Linked DNA regions of Danio rerio. Each later gene encodes a partner of the first gene's protein in a complex. Links are inferred from orthologs where the notes say so. Each region holds a gene or a part of one and is shown on either strand. Other genes may lie near its edges.

What was found.
Region 2: the proteins of atp7a (region 1) and atox1 are in contact, whole or in part, in an NMR structure (PDB 2K1R), measured with the Homo sapiens proteins. The link is inferred for Danio rerio from reciprocal best matches to the Homo sapiens genes ATP7A and ATOX1. Residues at the interface, in NP_000043.4 of Homo sapiens: Cys19, Asn20, Ser21, Cys22, Trp24, Thr25, Gln29, Asp67, Asp68, Met69, Gly70, Phe71, Asp72; in NP_004036.1 of Homo sapiens: Thr11, Cys12, Gly13, Gly14, Cys15, Ala18, Arg21, Val22, Lys25, Lys57, Thr58, Gly59, Lys60.

What each region holds. Positions count from the first base shown.
Region 1 is NC_133189.1:26,685,335-26,689,592, forward strand, and holds the start of atp7a (copper-transporting ATPase 1), read left to right. Parts: upstream 1-1,441; 5' UTR 1,442-1,529; exon of another isoform or gene 1,530-2,012; intron 2,013-2,095; exon of another isoform or gene 2,096-4,258. UniProt on the Homo sapiens protein: ATP-driven copper (Cu(+)) ion pump that plays an important role in intracellular copper ion homeostasis.
Region 2 is NC_133189.1:30,257,325-30,261,894, reverse strand, and holds atox1 (copper transport protein ATOX1), read left to right. Parts: upstream 1-1,664; 5' UTR 1,665-1,755; coding exon 1,756-1,761; intron 1,762-1,934; coding exon 1,935-2,007; intron 2,008-2,203; coding exon 2,204-2,328; 3' UTR 2,329-2,352; intron 2,353-4,171; 3' UTR 4,172-4,470; downstream 4,471-4,570. UniProt on the Homo sapiens protein: Binds and deliver cytosolic copper to the copper ATPase proteins. May be important in cellular antioxidant defense.

The DNA.
Region 1 (4,258 bases):
GGGGCAGCACAGTGGCTTGGTTGTCTTAAAACAAGAAGGCTGCAGGTTTAAAGGTTAGCGTTTTATTTTATTATATTCTGATATAAAAAGCAAACCATTTATAATGAAGTCTACACATTCTTACTCTAAAGACACAAAACAAATCATTTGAGAAAGGGGGATATATTTTAATTGTCCTTTATAATGCATTTGGGTCTGTTTTGACCCTAAAACCTATATACAAATAAGGTTCAGTTCTTTATAAAGTAGATAACAGGCATACTATGTCTCTTATGGAACAAATTTAAGGTCTAAAGTATTTGAAATAGAAAGCTTCTTAAATAGCACTCTTTTGATTTGTATTTGGCTTGAATTGTTAGGGTTTGTATTTTAGGACCTGTTAAGCTGTAATTCAACCACAAAATATTTTACACACACCCGGTACCGGTGACGTCATCGACTTTCGCTTTAAGATTTAGGATTTAAAGGGCTAGCAGTGCATTTATGATCACTAAGCAGCCCCAGATAGCACTGACAGCTGTCATCTCTTATGCTGTTTGCTTCAGGGCCTCCTCTGTTTTTGAGGTGGTGTGCATAAGTAATCCTTTTACATGTCTGATGTGGTCCAAACACAGTCAATTATGTTTGATCAAACAAAAGAATTGTGAAATATGAAAACAATGATCGATCCCTGTGGCTTGAATAGCACCTATGATCAGTTGGAATACAATAACTTTTGCATAGATTATGGTAGAGACATTTTTCTTTTTTCCTTTGATTACAGACATGTGCAGGAACCACCAACATTATTTACATCAACATAGACCACACAGAACCTAAAAGGTACACTTTTAAATTTGAGTTTATAAAAAAATGCAAAAAGTGCCTCTTTTTTGGGTGTTTATCATAACACAGACAACATATACAGTTAGTTTAACACTTTCAATAGTGTTTTATGAAAAATCAAAGGGTTTTCTTTAAAATGATACCATTTTTTTTTTTTTTTTTTTTTTGCATTTACACCTCTGCATGTGGATTTGGGAAGCTTTTCCAGGCGGAAATCCCAAAATAGCACTAATCCCAAAATAGCATTTTTGTTGATAACCGAAATATCGTTAGTTGATAGCTTAAATAAACAGTTAACGTTACGTTAAATTTCAAGACCTAAAAATACAAAGCCTGACAGTTCAAGTAATTTAAAAAATACAAACACTTGATAATTCAAATTATTCAATCCATATATATTTTTTGTTAATACTATTCAACAAGCTTTTTATTTCAAACAATTTAATAAGCATTAATTTTTCCCCAAGTCGCTCTATTAAAATACTATCTGATAAATCTCAAGCCCCCTATTCAAAGCTCCAAACAGCTCCAAAAATACGCATTACTGAAGCTCTTGAATCTGCCACGACGACATTCGAGACTGCGCATTTGGCAGCGGTTGATGATGTGCTCGAACACACTAGGAACGTTGCGGAGCGTGCGCCCGAGCTACATCGAGATAGCAAACATTCCGCATGGATTTAACACTCTTCAGCGTGACTTCTGTAAGCACACACTCTCCTGCTGTCTCCACACACTACACACGGCTGGGTTTTGTCCGATGGGGGCAACCAACCCCATAGGTTTTAAGGAAGCGAGGACTTACTGGCTGCTGGAGACTAACAAAGTGTTTGTTAGCCAGCTAACGTTAAGTTAACTGCTGTCATTGTGAAAGTGACAGTAAAACTTACCAAACTTAACTAGTGACAACAGCGTCCTATGAGGATTAAACTTGTTGGTCCTGTGACTCAGCATCAGCTCTTCGCACGAAAGGTAAAACAATCCAGCAGTTTTGTTGTTCTTCGTGTCTGTGGTTTAAGTTAGCTTTAGGCTCAAAAGCAAACATCTCACATCTGCATCAAAGGAATCTTTCTGAGAACGTTATTTTTAGAGTAACGTTAAATGCCTGTTTCTAACTGATGACACCTTAAAATTTCAGTTCTTTAATAAATTGGATATCATTAAACACTTAATGTATTGATCATGGGGTTATTATTATATATAAACTCTCCAAGCGATAGAGATGAACGTTAGCTGCATATATAATAAAGCTAATCTCTATTGCTTGGAGAGTTTATATTAGCTGATGATGTAATGTATAATAGGGCTAACGTTAATCCATTCGTTTTTGCGATGAGCAAAACGTTTGTTACTGTTTTTTTTATGTGTCTTTGTTGACGTTAATTAATACAAATACAATTGTCCATTCAATGTTTATGTTCTGGTATGGTTTATTAAATGTGGTAGTTTAATAATTGTTTTGTGAATGACGCAGTGAGAATGAAGTTAGGGTTTATAATTGCTTTAGAAAATTTATTTTGTTACATTATGTTTATTCTGAAGGTTTAACACATATAAACTTATATTTATTGTCGGTATATTATCGTTATAACTTATGAATAAAATTACAAACCTTGACACTATCGTTATTGTCTTTATATCATCGTTATAACCTATCGATAAAATTACAAACCCTGACACTATCGTTATTGTCGATATATTATCATTGTAACTTATCGTTAAAAATTTAAGCCCTGATACTATCTTTATTGTCGGTATATTATTTTTTATATCTTATTGGTAAAAATACCCAGACACTATCATTATTGACGGTGTATTATCTTTATAACTTATTGGTTTAAATACAAGCCCTGACACTATCGTTATTGTCGGTATGTTATCTTTATAACTTATCGGTTTAAATACAAGCCCTGACACTATCGTTATTGTTGGTATAGTATCTTTATAACTTATCGGTTTAAATACAAGCCCTGAGACTATCGTTATTGTCGGTATATTATCTTTATAACTTATTGGTTTAAATGCAAACCCTGACACTATCGTTATTGTCGGTATATTATCTTTATAACTTATCGGTTTAAATACAAACCCTGACACTATCATTATTGTCGGTATAGTATCTTTATAACTTATCGGTTTAAATACAAGCCCTGACAGTATCGTTATTGTCGGTATGTTATCTTTATAACTTATCGGTTTAAATACAAACCCTGACACTATCATTATTGTCGGTATAGTATCTTTATAACTTATCGGTTTAAATACAAGCCCTGACAGTATCGTTATTGTCGGTATGTTATCTTTATAACTTATCGGTTTAAATTAAAACCCTGACACTATCGTTATTGTTGGTATATTATCGTTATATATAAGTTTTTGTTTGTTTCGAAGAATTGAACTCAAATATGGATTCAGCAGGGTTGAGATTTTATATTTAATTTGTAGTCTTTACTTTGACATTTTGTATTTTTTTTTTTAGATTAGGGCTGAGCAGTATATCGTTTCAGCATCGATATCGCAATGTGTGTGTCCACAATATTCACATCGCAGGATATGCAATGTTGAGTTGCGATTATAGTCGATCAGCACAGCAGTTGAGAATACATGATACATTGTGGAGTCATGGCAGAGTATACCAATAAATACAGAGTGGAACTTTATCATTGTTTGTGTAACTTTTGTTTTTGATCTGTCTTGTTTATTTTTGCTTGTAATTTGTTATATTTTATGCAGATCCACTGCATGGAAAAAGACTTGATCATCCCAATCAGTCTAAATTAAATCTTTATAAATAGAGCTATTTAAATATTCTGTTGAAAATTTATTTATATCCTAATATATTGCAACAAACAAATTTTTTTTCCAATATCGTACAGATTGAGGTAAAGTTGGTTTTTATATTCGCACTTTCATTCAGTGACAACTTGGGACATGCTCCCTATATTGTTTACCATGCCTAAATCAGCCTAATTCAGATGTACAGTTACTGCTCGGGTTTGTGATGTCAGACTGTGTAAATATTGATTTGTTCTAGTGTACGTTTCCTAAGTCACGTTTGTGTTTCTCATAGAAGAGGTGCTTTAGTTAAAGCTTAATTCAGATGTGTCAGAAACATTCAGAGTGTTTAGTGGGTAAGTTTAGACAGCAATGTTTTTTTTATATGAGGCTGATATTATGTTGCTATTATTTAATTAGCACTTTACATACTGTACAGTTACAGTACCATCTTTTGTTCTTGTATCTTGATAATCACTATAGTATTTTTAAAGTACTTTGATATACCATGTGGTGTGTGTTGGTTTCATTCAGAATTAGGTTTATGTGTATTGTTCTGTATGTTTTAGTTTCACTTGTTGCTAGAAAAGCATTTGGCAGAATTATGGTCAAGCCAATAAACTCACAGTTATGACAAATAAAGTAGCAGTTCTGAGAA
Region 2 (4,570 bases), about 3.6 Mb from region 1:
TATTTCTTTACTTTAAAATGTACAGCAATTTTCACAAACTTTAAAATACATTAACATACTGCATAACTGCCCTGCAGTAAAATGCAGTTCATATTACAGTTAAAAACTGCTTAATTTACACATATTGTTAACAATGTAGTCACATTTGTTTCATACTACAAAAGCTATCCAGTATTGAGTTGTTGTTGTTTTTTATTTAAGACCTCGTCTGGATCAATTCAATAATCTGTGGTAATAAATGCTTTTCATAAATAACCGGTAATAAGTTCAATATCAGCATGATGTCAGTGATGTCACAACCCTCGAAGGCTCAGCAGGCTTTCTACAAGATGTAGCTCAGCATTAGCACGTATCATATTGTACATGAAATGACAGAATCAGACTTACCGCAAGCACCGCTGAATGATATTAACCAACTATATAAACCTAATAAAGTCCATATTTTAACCCGGACATGCTATGACAGAAAAGAGACAAGATGATCCGACACGCTGAACGACTCTGTTGTTCTGATTCTGCGTCCTCGCTCTGCTGTCACATGACACATGTCAGCTGATTTCACTTCAACGCGGTCTCTCACGGATTACGTTTCCGTGTTTCTGTTTTAAAAATCAAAAAGTTAACGATACACTTTTAAAACATTGCAGCTTTTGCAAAATCAAAATGACGTACAGAGTATGACGGAAGCTGTATGCTTTAGTACTTTTTAATGAACAAATTTAATGAAGGAAATTAACAAACTTTTTATTATTACAGTTCTCAACTTAATTTAATTTGAACGTATTTAATTTAATTATTTAATTTTGCTTAATTTTATTTAGAGAGCAACAAAAACAAGGGATCATCTAAAAAATGTGTTTTACGTTTAAAACGTTTGATATCACTTCTGATGCGATATCCAACAAAATGTTGTGTGCTGCTGAATATATCGTTGTATCTGTAGATGTATATGGAAAATACTATGTAGTAAACACTAGTCTATTTGAACCATATTATATTAAAGTGTCTTTTACTATATTTACAGAGCACAGGCTAACTGTTATTACGGTATTAGCAAACTGATAAAGTGTAACAAAATACTGCAGTAAACTCAACAGTAAATTGGTATAGTAGTATATTTTCTAGTTGTAGAAACTTGGTACACTATTGGGTTTTTGACACTATTTGTTGTATTACCAGGGACTATTACAATAACAAACTATTTCAAGTATTTTAGTATGGTTCAATTTTTTTCATGTGGGGATGGTATTTAAATCGGACTTGTGAGGAGCTTATAAAATGTGTAAATGAGTCAAAACAATACCAAGACATCTGGAATAGACATTTACGACATGGCAATTCCATGACTGTATGACAAGAAATATGTTTGGTTTTGGTCATGTGGGTCCTGTTATTAGCTTTAGATGTCCTTATTTGTTCATGTTGCATTTACATTACATTTAAACTGCACCAGAGTCTGAAACAGATTGGGACCCATCTTTCATCCAGTTTCGCTCCACTTTTGTGTAGAGCACCAAGGTTCAGATGACAGCATTAACATTAATTTAAATGAGCAGTAACAAACAAACAACAAACATATAATCAATTTAGTTTAATAATGCCACGTGTTTTTTGTGGTGCGAATGAACGCTTTGTCAGAAACTGATAGTTTATTGATGAGCCCTAAAGGAAACAGTGCGTCACCTGACCGTCCAGCAACAGTGCCAGCAAAATCGAGTCTGTAGACTTGAGTTTGCAGCAACAGTCTGATCGATCATGACGGTAATTACCCCCTTTAATATAACATTTAATTAACAATAATCCGTTTACTTTTGCTTAGGGTTTCAGAACATCCTAAGTTCGTTTTTACTCAAGATAACTTCCAGACTTAGCTTAGTTGCTAACGTTTTGATGAGTGTCTCTTATTGAATCAAAGATGTTTTCTTTCTTCACAGACTCACGAGTTTTTTGTTGACATGACATGTGAAGGATGCTCTGGTGCAGTCACTCGAGTACTTAATAAACTGGGTAAGGTTTAGGTTTTTTACATTTGAAATATTCTAATCGTAATATCGTTGAATTGTGTACTGGAACCATTTAAATGAGATGTTTGTGAATTGTGTTATTAAATGCATCAGATGTTGCTGCTTTCTTTGCTTTTTGTGTTAAAAAGTGCTTTGTCATGGTGGGACAGAGTTCATAGTTCATTTGTATTTCTCAACAGATGTCAAGTTTGATATCGATCTTCCCAACAAGAAGGTCTTCATTGAGTCAGACAAAAACACTGATGTCCTTCTGGAAACACTAAAAAAGACTGGAAAAACTGTTACCTACATTGGTACAAAATGAAAAGGTTTATATTAAAACAATAAGGTGAGAACTCAATTCAAATACTTCAGTCAATTGCACTCACAGAAGTTAAAAATCATTATAACACATTAACTGAACTATTATATAGTACAAGTTTCTTGGTCTTGTGATCAGACAGGATTTACTTGACAGTCCAAAGTTTGTTTTTATTGTAACATAAAGCTTGCATTATCAGTTTCCATCCACCTGTTAAAGTGATAGGTCACAAAAAATACATAAGTACAAATTTGCTAATTTTTACTTCTCTTCAGCCCTCACAATATGGCTTTTTTTGTTAAGCTTTATTGGAATATTCAACAACCACAAGCACTTTGACAGTAAAAAGCATATACAGAGAAGGAAAAAACTAAAAGGGATAGTTCATCCCAAAACAAAAACTAAAATCAATCACCTTTTATTTGCATGTTTTAAATCTGTTTGGGTTTCTTTTTTCTATTGAACACAAAAGAAGATATTTAAAAATTCATGAGCTTAAAGTCACATATAAGCTGATGCTGTTTGTTTACAACATTTTATAGAAACAACAAATAAAGAGTATTTTGATAACGAGTACAGCAGCATCAGCTCATGTTTGACTTTGCGCTACTTAAATTTATTATACTCAAGATTGCTTAAAAAAAACTAGGCTGTGTGGACTTAAAGAAGGCTAAAAATGCTGGGTTCTAGACAATCGATTTGAGTTGGAACAACATGACGGAATTTAGTTACCTTATTAATTTGTACAAATAGTAACAATTTACAATAAGGTTCATTAGTTAATGCATTTACTAACATGAACGAATCATGAACAACACATGTACAGCATTTATTAATCATAATTTAACATTTACTAATGCATTATTAACATCCAAATCTATGCTTGTTAACATTAGTTAATGCATCATGAGTTAACAAACTATGAACTACTGTATTTCCACTAACGTTAACTAACATGAACAAATACAGTAGTAGATGTGTTCTTCATTGTTTGTTCATGTTAGTAAATGCATTAACTAACATTAACTAATGAACCTTATTGTAAAGTGTGACTACAAATTTAAGTGGATTGAACATAAAACAATTAAGTTATTAAAAAAACTCAATAATTGTTTCAGCTAATTTTAAATAAGTCATTTAAACAATCAGCAAAATAAATTTCTGATTTGTGATATCAGAAATCAAGGATATTCCTTTCATTTTTCTTGTATATGTTTTTGACACAAAATACTGGTAGCCATTGGCTTGCATTTCACAAATCAGCAATGGTCTCAGTTTCAGCTAAAAATCCCATTAATTATACTCTTAAATAAAAAAAGAGTTAATTGCTAAAAAAAAGTGTTATTCTTAGGGCTGAACTTTTTATTTTTTAAGGTTGACAAATCAGTGCTGTCTCTGTTTTTGTACTAATAGTCTGTGACATATTTGTTGTAATGATTTAATTTGTTCTGATTTAAAGAGACAGTTCATCCAAAATGAAAATAATTGTTTACTCATATTCTAATGGTTCTAAACTTATGAATTTATTTTCTCTGTTGAACACAAAACAAGATAGTTTGAACAATGTTGGAAAAAAACAGCCATTGACATCCACTATGCTAGTCAATACCTGTTATTTTCAGCATACCTAAGTATATCTTCCTTTGTGTTCAATAGAAGAAAGAAACTCAAACAGGTTTGGAACAAGTGGAGCATGAGTAAACGATGACAGAATTTCTATTTTTGGTTGAACTATCCCTTTAAAAAGATCTCATTTATATTCTGAGCTACCGTTTTATTGCAGTTGAGATTACCTAAAGTGGACATGTGCTCATTAATTCATTGAAATTCATTGATGTTTTAATAGGTCAGAATCATGCTGCTTTGGAGATTATAAAATGGGACTCCTTCAATGGCCTGTACATTACATATCTGATCAATTGCTATGTATCTGCGGGACCACAAAAGGAAATTTGTTCAGCAGAACCACAAACAACTACCAGGCTTTGCTTTTTTCTTTTTAAAAATGTTCTGTTTACAATTATAAGAATCTTGATTAAAGCCAATCCGTTAACAGTGTGGTCTTTTTCCTGCCACACTTGTCTACATGTAATTGTATGTGTCCAGATGTTTAAATAAAGATTCCTGTATTTACTCAGAGGAAAACAAAATTGTCAGAGTGTTTTTTGCTTGTCCGTAACTAGAGTTTTAGTCAATTTTAATAGATAATAGCTTAATGCAATTTTATTTATTTATTTATTTATTT